Linked DNA regions of Nothobranchius furzeri. The protein of the gene in region 1 binds, or shares a complex with, the protein of each later gene. Links are inferred from orthologs where the notes say so. Each region holds a gene or a part of one and is shown on either strand. Other genes may lie near its edges.

Region 1 (5,594 bases):
TCTTTCCTGCAAATACAATTTCACAGGTGTTGCTAATACCTATGATTCTTCAAGGGATGTGCTCAAAGAGGAGTTCAACATTATGAATACAATATAGTGTTTTATTTTACAAATACCATTATAAACACAAACTTACGTCTTAAGAAACATTATTTTAATAACGAAACTGCTAAATTCTTTCCAACAGTATAGATGTGTAGTGTATTTTGTCCGAGTCGGTTTGCCGTACTTTGACGTCATCGGCAGTCAAAGGACCCCGAGCCGATCTTGCACCCGAGCAGATCCTGTACCGACACCGGTACGTTTGAACGTGCCCATGCCCGCGCCCTATAACCCGGTGCGCCCTATGGTCGTGAAAATACGGTATCTGATTAGAAGGCTACTTGAGTACTGAGTATCATCTGGTCTAATATTTTTAAAATGATGACATCAAACAGACAAAAAATTTTGAAGTTATGGGCAAATATTGGTATTTTAAAGACTAAAGGGGAAAAATGTAAACAAATAAACAACATAATTACAAAATAACACGTTTTAGGCAAAATTTAGACACAAACTGAGGACAATATTTTCCTGACATACAGGGTTTATTTAGTTGTCTGAAAATGTAACACGTTTAAAAAAATACCGCGATAATACCGTTTTCATTTTGGTTACGATAACCGCGAGGCTACATTTTCACACCGTGACGACCCTACATCACACCATCTTCAACTTGATTCAGGACACGTGCACAAAACATGTCAATTCATTTTGAAATGTTTCAGTGTGGGAAAAGTTGCTGCACACGTGTTATTGAGGAAATCTACGTGTGTTTCAACAGAAGCATAGTTGGCACTTTTATGACCTTCTTTAGCTTAAAATAGTCTCTAAATTGAGATATTTTGGATGTTCTTTAGCCTGGCACGCCAGACTAAATCCATAATATTATTTAATGTTCCATTGCCTGTCGTGGGGCGGGTTCTACCGTTGTCTTTCAAACAATCATTGCACCCTACTGGACAACGAACAACGTGGAGTACTCACCGCAACCTCTGTAAACAAGGATGTCTGCCGTTGAAGGCGGCAAAAATACATCCTTTTTCTAAATAAAAGACTAAAACACATCTGCCAGAATGCTGCTAGGAGGCCTCAGAAGTTCCGGTGGAGCGTTCCCACACCAAACATTACAAGGCAAGAATTTGGTCTAGTTCACTAGGCTAGACGATCTTAACTTATTTCTTCGTCTAATAGTCTGGTACATGAATCAATGCAATTTTGAAAAACAGTGACCACTGAGCTGCTACATGGAATAAAGGAATGAGTGAATTAGGGGTGGACCGATTATATTGGTTGGCCAATGTTTAGTTTTTTATTCATCGGCTGTTTTTTCTTAGTAAAGCTGATTTAAAGTCAGGCACATCTATAGTCACCCTGGTGCTGTTGCAGAATTTAATTCAAATTTTTTCCCCAACATTCACTAATAACATCTGCATAATAAATACTCTAAATCAGGGGTGCCCAATCCTGGTCCTGGAGGGCCGGTGTCGGTACAAGATCGGCTCGGGGTCCTTCGACTGCCGATGACGTCAAAGTACGGCAAACCCACTCGGACAAAATACAGTACACATCTATACTGTTGGAAAGAATTTAGCAGTTTCCTTATTAAAATAATGTTTCTTAAGACGTAAGTTTGTGTTTATAATGGTATTTGTAAAATAAAACACTATATTGTAGTCATGATGTTGAACTCCTCTTTGAGCACATCCCTTGAAGAATCATAGGTATTAGCAACACCTGTGAAATTGTATTTGCAGGAAAGAAGTGTGTCCCATTTATTGAAGTATTTTGTGTTTAGAGTTTTTGACGTCTTGTCCATGCGTAGTTCATTACGCTCATAGCTGCTAGCCAAAACTCTGGAGTTAAAAGTTTTCTGGCTTTACTAAAATACCTGTCTGTACTTATTTGATTGATGGTATTTTTACTTTCTATTAGACTCCAAATGTAATCATTTGGCACGTTTCTAATTCATAATTTGATCATGTAATCGGCGATATTAGCATTAGCATTCCTATGGGTTTTTCCATGTATATTAGCATTGCGCTAACCACTCGCTGCCAAATTGCAGCCTTTGCGATTAGAAAATCTCCTTTTGTCACATCGCAATTTAATTACACATGCAGTTAATCGTTCAGCCCTAATATACATGCAGCTCTATGCTCAAAGTGTATTTTCAAAGAGGTAATGATGGATTTCTTTGTAAAAGTTGTCCATCTTTCCAACAGAAAGATTTGCCTGGACCAACGTAACGTGATAACAACGTAACGTGATTACGTAATTCCGTAAGGTTCATGTGCAGCCAATCAACTACTTAGACGTCATCGGCAGTCGACGGACCCTGAGCCAATTTTGCACCCGAGCAGATCCTGTGCCGACACCGGTATCCAACAGGTTTTGTGGTTTTTCTGCTCCTACAGACTTGATTCAGTGGTTGAAACACCTGTGCAGCAGCTCATCAGGCGCTGCAAAAGACCGCTAATTAGCTGCTGATTGAAATCAGGAGTATTGAAACAGAGTTCAAACTAAAACATGCAGGATACCGGCCCTCCAGGACCAGGATTGGTCTAAATTAACTTTATTTAGGTGTCTGACTGACATTAAAAATTGCAAAAAGTGTAAGAAAGTTTGTTTAAAATGGTATATATCCAGTCCATATACTGTGGCCACACCATTGCAGAACATGTGTGCGTGTGTGTGTTTGCGCATTTAATGTTTACCTATTTGCTGTGGATCCCTCAGGTCAAAGAAGTTCAGGAAGCACTGGTAACCCATCTGCTTGTCGGTGGAGAACATGATGATGTTGCCGCTGAAGTCGAACCCACACGTCCTGACGGCAGAGTTGGTGTTGAGCAGAGCCAGCTGTTTACCTGTGAAAACACATTAAAGATGTCATTTAGACAGCATGATGTCAGGTTTACAAACTATCCCAATACCCTAAAAATCATGTCCACCTCTTTGGAAAAGCACATTGTTAAGGTTTACTTACCAGTCTCACAGTCCCACAGCCTGCAGCTGTTGTCTGCTGATCCTGTTAACACGTTCTTTGTGTCCCCTGAGACAACTAGTTAAGATGCCTAACTTCACTGACAGACACCCCTAGCTTACATTAGGCAGAGGTGCAAAGGATACAGTCACAGTCAACACACCACACAGCTCCGGTGTGTCCATTGTAGGTCCCGAGCCTCTCTCCGTTCACAGAGTACCACGCGTTGGCAACCTGGATAGCAGCAGAACAGCAGGGATGAGTTTGGCTGCTCCCAAACGTCGTGTTGAATGATCCGACAGAAGAGCGAGTGTGTACCAACTCACTGTATCTTTAGCCACCGAGAAGAGCAGATCTCCTTCTCTGTTGTATTTGATTTGTGTGATGGACCTCTCGTGGCCCTGGAGCAAAATGGGTTTCTAGAAACACCGATAACGGTTCAGATTAAGCTAGCATTTACACATGACTGTTTTAATTGAAAAAAGAAAGAATAACGTAGCTTTGACTTGCCTAGGCGTAAAGCACCAACACTATACGAGTCACAGAAATCTCTTTCATAGCTTAGCTAACTCAAGACTTCTGCCAAAATGAATATGTACATTAGCTAACGTGAAAAGCTATAGCTAGCCACAACAGACAAAGTAAAACCCCAAACTACAGCGACAAGCTAAAGAACAAAAACTGAAAACCGCCAGGTAAACATTGCCTTGTAAATAAATATACCAACCATTGTCGTCAGCTAGGTGTTTCCAGATGCTTTAGTCAATTTGCTGCGCCTCACAATGGGAGAAAAGTTAAACCCTCATGTGTCAGACACCGGAGCTGTGGCGGAAGAGAAGGCTTCCATTTTCTTCTTCGATGGTATTAACCGCAGATGGACGACCTGCCGCCCCCTCCTGGACAAATGTGGTATGAAGGACTTTCTGGAATCTAGAAAATAAAGTAATTTGATCCCAAACTTGTGCTCGTTTCAGTCCTGCTCCTTATCAGCTCATTTGTGAATATTTAATCCCGAATACTGCTACATACATGATATTTATCAACATAATGTATGATAACATGCCACCCTCCTGTATAAGTTGTAAATCATTTTGCATTTCTGTCAGTCACGAAACCACTCCTTCCTCACCAGTTTCTTTTATTACGTTTAGTTTCTGTCACTTAAATTTACTTTTCTGACAGTGATTTTATTGGATTCTTTTTGAAGGTCATCAAATACAGTATTTAAAAAGAAAAATTAGTCCTGTGCCCTTCATTCTGGAAATATGGTGACACAAAATCTCAAAAATCACAATAAATTATCTCCATAGTTCTCAAAATTCTCATTATGACACAAATAATTCACTGTAAAAAATAATCTGCCAGAAAATCAGACATACTCTAATTTTATTTAAAATCAGGGCCAGAAAATAACATACTGCAAAAGATAAACTACAACAGGGAGACATCTTTGGTTTATATGAAAAGTAAACAGTACAGTGAATACATCCTATGGTAGACTGAAAAACATTTGCATTTCTGTTTCGGATGGCATTGCTTTGTCGAAACTACATATGTAGTGCACAGGGGAAACAGGCGTGTGTTTGGAGGAAACCAAATCAAATTAGACTTCTCCTCTCAGTTTTCTCACTTGGCTCAGATCAATGCACATTTCAAAAGCACCCAATGTAAAAGTATCAACCCCTTGGAAGAAAAAGGCCTTAAACTGTGAGATATGTCGTCCCCGACACATTTATGCAGAACAGTGGATATGATGAGATTACATTCTCAGCTAAGTGCTCGTGGGTCGAGGCCACAGAATAAAACCAAGATGCAAGCGTTGCATAGAGGAACTTTGACATTCTTTAGAATAAACCTGACCAGAAGCCTTTGCCGTTCCCAGGACCATCACAGATATAAACAGGTACATCCCACACACACACGGAACAAAGATGGAGTTAAATGAGATAAAAGTGCTAATACTAATAACTAAACTGGTAATGTGCAACATAACCCAGGAGAGGTAAGGATGACAAATTTGGAGTAAAATGAATGAAAATGATCAGCTTAAATGAAAATATCCTTTATTTTAACCCCCGATATCAGTGACTGTATGATTTCAACAATAAATACAGACTCACATTTAAACACTACACAAATGAATAAGAGTTCAAACGTTTTAGTTCTAAAACGTTCTTTAATAATCCAGGATTTACTCTGCCAAAAAAAATCATAATAAAAAAAGGATAAAAGGCTGGACTGAAAAGCTTCCCTCAACAGTCCCACACAGCTCTTACTTAAAGGAAGGAATGGTAGAGATGGAAGAAAACAACACTTAAGACACACACACACACACACACACACCTGTGGTAAACCTGCTTAGGTGGTGTCCTCCCACACAGCTCAGTAAAGCCTTCAGCAACAACTCTAGTTATTGTAATAAAATGATCTGAACTAGCTTAGTTTCAGCTGGAGAGGATGGGGTGAAGGAAGCCCGTCTGCAGATGACGCTGGGAGGACACACGTTAACCCTTCTGTTGGACTCATCTGGTGTAAATCTGATTCCAGCTCAGCGTTGAACATCAGCTGCTCC
Region 2 (5,603 bases), on another chromosome or scaffold:
TCGGCAGACGCTTTTCCGGTTCGCGCCTCACTTTTTTTTAAAGCAGCGGCCCAAAACGATCTCCTAACACATGGATGTTCTGCTTCCTGATCACGTGACGTGTGACGTACGCGGTTGAAGATCAGCTTTAGAGCGGAGATGTTTGTTCTCACGGTTCGGGGGCTCGTCCGACATCCACACAGTAAAAACATGCAAATGATGACTTTAGTCGTCATTGGCAGTGAATGAGTTAAAGGCTCTTTACCTCCACTGGTGTAGACCTCAAGCTGACGGTTGATGTTGCTCTTATCCACCAGGGAGTGGAGAACGTTGAGGACACTGTGGACGTTCCAGATCTTTGGGTTGTTCCTCAAGAACTCAATTTCCTCCTCAGACTTCTTGGCCGTCTTACAGCGGTACTGGCTGAAGGACTGGAACTGTGAAAGGAATAAACAGAATTCCCATTTTAGTCACCACCACGTGTCTGTACTTCCCGTGGGGTTGCTGGGTGGAAACGGGAGACGAGCTGAATATGCCCGACAGACTCGTTCTCCGTCTGTTCCACACAGAGGACGAGTCAGGATACTCGAGGCAGAGAGCACCATGAGGGGCGGGACTAGCCAGCTCATAAATAACCAATCAGGAAAAAGGCAGAAATGACGACCGCATCATGTGACGCTGTAGCTTTTTAGCTGTAGTCAAAGATGGCGTCCGGCGACAGCGCAAACATTTCTTACGAAAGGCTTTTAGTGCTTCTACTCGTGGTTTCGAAGACAAGTCCAGGTCATTTAGAACAGAGCAAAGAGCCGCAGCAAGCTCTGCTTCAGACGCCATCTTCGTTGTTTACGAGAAAATGAACGTTGGGGTGTGTGACGTGCGCTGGCTCGGTTAGAACTTGCAGGAGGTGGGGTTATCTGAATGGGAGCCTGGCTGGCCGGGCTATAAAAAATATCGATGCATGTCAGAAAACACTGGAACCAAACTGAATAAAATGTTCTAAACTTATGTGACTCGTGTTGGGAAAATGAATATCCTGAAAGAGACCTGGTAGATGAACTCATCGATGATGTCCCAGAGCCACTGGTTTGGGAGTTCCAAGGGGGCGGGGCCATCAGCATCTGTTTGCAATCAAATTTTCTCATAAAACCGACGTGTCAAGAAATAATTTACACAATTGGAACAAAGGAGGAGAGAGAATGGACGCACTGAGGATGTAGTTGAACAGGTTGCAGTAGTTGTAGTACGACTCGAACCTCTGCTCCAAAGTGGGTCCTCCCTGGTGACAAACACAAAACGTTTTTACTACAAAACGCAAAAATCGCTCCACATTTCAGCCGATAGGAAGAGTGCCAGAGGTCTGAGTTAAGGATTTACTCACGCTGACTTTAGCATAGATGTGTCTGTAATAGAGTTCCTTATAGAGGATCAGGAACACAGCATCTGTTCAAATAAAATTACATTCAGCATTTTTTATGATGAGCCAGAACAAGATGATTTCATTCATTAATGATAATGACCCGCACTGTAGCGCCTTTCAGAGTCGGAGGACTCCAAAGTGCTTTACACTACAGTGCATCATTCATACGTTCACACGCTGGAGGGGATGAGCTACGATGTAGCCACAGCTGCCCTGGGGCGCGCTGAGAGAGGCGAGGCTGCCGAGCACTGGCGCCACCGCGCCCTCCAACCACCACCAGCAGGTAGGGCCGCTCAATTAATCGAATTTTAATCACGATTACGATCAGAGTTTAGAACGATTATAAAAACAAAACAAGCCGGTTATTTGCTCCTCCCACTTGCGCTGCCCTGAGTTGCAAATGAAGCGCTCCTCCCACAGTGATGCCAACTTAGCGACTTTGACGCTATTTCCAACAGCTTCTCAGACCCCCTTCTTGACTTTTTAAATCCTAAAAGTACCTAGCGAACACGTCAGAAACATCTCTGGTAACCCTTAGCTACTTTCTGGATAACTGTCGTCGACATTTCCTGCAGGTTAGCTAAACACTCCACCTGCGCTCCGGACCGTTCTTCAGGACATTAGGAAAGGGATTGATGTAGTGATGTGTCGGTTGCTAAAGAAACAGCTCTCAGAGCCGGTGTTCTGAGAATTTCTCCTACCCGGTAAAACTTCCTACCCGTTGTTACTGAGCATGTGCGCGCATGCGCACAACACAAAAGGGGAATGCTACTCCGCTGTCATATTTGCAGGAAAATACATTCCTTTGGTTAGGGTTAGGGATAGGGTTTGTGTCATGTAAAACAACGTAAAATTCTACTACGGGTAGGACGTTTTGCCAAAGTAGGACGCTTTCTCAGAACACCGGCTCCCTGTTGGAGTAACCAGAGTGAGTGACACACACACCGTACCTGCGGGCTCGTGAGCTGCTAAAAACGGCTAAATGTGCGCGTGCGGCGTGCTAAACACACGTGCAGCTTGCCCCGATTGCTGAGAAACCGGGTTGGGGGGTGGGGGTGCAGCTGTGGTTGGGAAAATTATTACATTAACTGATGGACCTGTAAATAAATAGTTTATAAATAAGGTAGAAATAAGTTCCTCACGCTGATAACTAATAACTAATCTCTCTGAGGACACGGTGCTAGTGCACGCTCCTACAGCACCTTGACATGACTCAATAAATGTTATGCAACATTTTGTGAACAACAATTTATTTGTATTTATTTGTTATAAATGCCACTGTATAATTCTTGCTGTCAGTATTTGGGTCTGTACTGGTTAGACTTAAATGAGTTAAACCAAGGTCTAGGGCTGTAGCGACGCATCGATGACGTCGACGGCTCGATTCTAAAAATTTGTCGACGTCAGATGCGGAAGTCGACGCACCGCGCCCACTTGTTGCATCCCCAGGAGTTTGTAAATAGAGGAGGAATCTGCCTGTTTTTCCTCTAGTTCGCCCTCTTCTCCGCCTTCACCAACATCTCCGCCAAATACCGAAGACCCGGAATAACGTCCGTCCACTACTAGATTATTTTCCTGTTTTGCCCGCCTTCGTCTCCCGGCAACGGACAACAACTTCCGGGGTCAGATGCGCTGCTTCGTCTCTACCGCAGATGTAGAACATCACCGGGAGCGTTTCTCCCTTCATTAAGGAGCTTCTTTCAGACATGAGGAGAGCTGTTTTGGTGGTAGCAGTCTCTCCTCCGTGCTGGTCTGTTTGCTGCTGGGTGTTTTTGGTTTATTTAAACTTGGTAACTTGAACTTAACGTTGGTAAAGCTACTGTTAGCATCTTCGCTAACAGCTTCTTGCGTTTGGATAAGCTGTTACGTTTTGGTTTAGAGTTAATCTTTTTTGTGGTGCAGATCTCCCTTTTATTACATTTAGAGTGTTGTGGGTTTTCGGTTTAGTTTAAAATATCATCTTGAGTTTGGTTTAACCGCCCAGTTTAGAGTTTGGACCCCTACTTATTTGTACTTTGTTTTAATTCCCCTCAGGCAGAATTAGTTTTATTATTCCCAACCTGTGGATGGAAAGATTTATGATTTTTGTTGTTGTAAATAAACCTGATCATCATTTTAACTTTTAAATCCCGTTATTGTCCCTTCCTTTTTGCACACGAGCCAAACTCCCCAGGAAGGGTCGTAACACCACTCGCCTCACGCACATAAGTGACCAAAACAAAGCAGCATGGAGACACTCCGTCTTCTACCACCTCTCAGGCAGCAGCCTGCACTCCCAAGTTCTACACGTCACCAGAACATAACCAACCGCAACACAATAAAAGCAGTGTTATACAAAATGGAAGGCCTGTAGTGTTTATTCTCTTACAGTAACAATTTATCACTTATTTTGAGGAATTTATTTGAGATTTTCTGGTTTTTGTTAATTGTGCAATAGAAAAATAATCATTAGATTAATTTTCTAAATAGTCATTAGAATAGTCGACTATTCGATAAAATAATCGTCAGAATAATCGTTTTAAAAATAATCGTTTACCCCCAGCCCTACCAAGGTCTATAGCTCTTGGGTCATAGACTATGAGCTATAAGTATATTGGTCTTTTTATACTGGGAACCAGGAGTTCTCTTTCTTAACATTCGTTTCGATGTCTCACTATGGGATACGCCCCTCCGCGGATTCCTCAGAAGCACTTATCTCAATACGCCAATCCTGATTGGCCAGTGACCGTGACGTACGCGTCCCCATGCTACTATAAGTAGCAAGCGTCCCAACGCACGCACTATTCAATCACCTCTTCTCGCTTCGGTGGTCGCTTATCTCTGAGGTAAGTTAGCTCAACTGTTCACAGACGGAGCCTTCTAATATTCTCTCCGTCGCCGAACGTTAACTTACCGTCCTTCTGTCCTGACCTTCACCATAGGTTCGGGGCATAACGAGCAGCTTCACACTCCAGTGCACCTGTTCGCTCTCTGCTAACACACCAGTTAGCCAACATGGAAGCCGCTCCTCCCACCAGAGGAGTCGATGGCTCAGGAGCTCGCCTCTGTACCCGTGGGAACAAAATCTCAAGCAAAGACCCGCACAAGGTCTGCTCGAGCTGCCTCGGGCTGGAACACGCCCAGCTGGCATTGGAAGTCCCCGGGTCATGTGAGAACTGTGCCTGCTTCACCCTGAAGAGCCTTCGCCGGCGGCTAGCGCGCCAAGCTAGCCTGTCGGGGAAGGACCCTTGCCTGCCGGCCCCTGGGCCACCGCCTGGGGACGCCAGCGAACATGCCCTCCCGGAGCCGGAACCGTGTGCCGAACTCAGCTGGGGCTCACAGCTCGAACTGGCCGGTCCGAGCCACCCCGTCGAGGACGTGTTGGAGTTGGACTACGGAGACGACGAGGACACCTCGGAACTCCTCATTTCAGAGGAGGACGAGGATGACGACGTCTTTCTCCCCGTCGCTCAGGCCTCCATGCCTAGCTTTCCGTCCTCTCCCAGGGATGGAGCGGCTTCTCCGGCCGCCCACCTGGACATGCAGTCAGTCTGCCGACGCGCTGCGACCAGGCTCAACATCCCTTGGCCCACCGTGGTCACTGAGGCTGTCAGGTCCCGCTACGAGGGTAAGAAGCTGCCTCAGGCCACAAGGGCGGCAAAGCCCCTCCTTCCCGCCTTCCCGGAGCTTCTCCAAGAAGTGAGGTCCTCCTGGGACAAACACCCTTTCAGCTCAAGGTCTCCGGTCCAAGGAGCCTCCTCGCTGGACTTCGAGGGGATGGAGAGGGCTGGCATGCTTCGCATGCCGCCGATGGAACCGCTGGTTGCAGCCCACCTGCACCCACGACTCTCGGCAACTTCCTCCAGGCCTCCCGCTCTCCCTGCAAAGGCGGACCGCTTCCAGTCGGCGCTGAACGAGAGGGCGTACAAGGCTGCCGCCATCTCGGTCCGAGCTTTGAATGTCTCCTCCATGCTCTCAGCGTACCAAGCCGAGCTCTGTGAGGACATGAATACGAAGCCGGACCCGGAGGTGTGGGAGGAAATCACCGTACTGACCGACATCTGCCTGCGGGTGCAGCGCTGCGCGGTCCAGGCTACGGCGAAAGCTATGGGCATGATGGTGCTTCAGGAACGTGCACGTTGGCTGAACCTCACCAACCTCTCTGATAGAGAGAAGGAGGACATTTTGGACATGCCAATCGTGCCTGAAGGCATTTTCGGCTCTGCCC

The links. The genes of interacting proteins can lie anywhere in the genome.
Region 2: eif3i (region 1) and eif3s6ip share a complex: the UniProt entries of both Homo sapiens proteins name them as parts of the eukaryotic translation initiation factor 3 (eIF-3) complex. The link is inferred for Nothobranchius furzeri from reciprocal best matches to the Homo sapiens genes EIF3I and EIF3L.

What each region holds. Positions count from the first base shown.
Region 1 is NC_091751.1:3,239,312-3,244,905, reverse strand, and holds the start of eif3i (eukaryotic translation initiation factor 3 subunit I), read right to left. Parts: upstream 3,890-5,594; 5' UTR 3,753-3,889; coding exon 3,750-3,752; intron 3,442-3,749; coding exon 3,349-3,441; intron 3,257-3,348; coding exon 3,169-3,256; intron 3,092-3,168; coding exon 3,026-3,091; intron 2,907-3,025; coding exon 2,757-2,906; intron 1-2,756. UniProt on the Homo sapiens protein: Component of the eukaryotic translation initiation factor 3 (eIF-3) complex, which is required for several steps in the initiation of protein synthesis.
Region 2 is NC_091752.1:5,219,400-5,225,002, forward strand, and holds part of eif3s6ip (eukaryotic translation initiation factor 3 subunit L), read right to left. Parts: intron 1,420-5,603; coding exon 1,358-1,419; intron 1,256-1,357; coding exon 1,186-1,255; intron 1,098-1,185; coding exon 1,024-1,097; intron 417-1,023; coding exon 245-416; intron 1-244. UniProt on the Homo sapiens protein: Component of the eukaryotic translation initiation factor 3 (eIF-3) complex, which is required for several steps in the initiation of protein synthesis.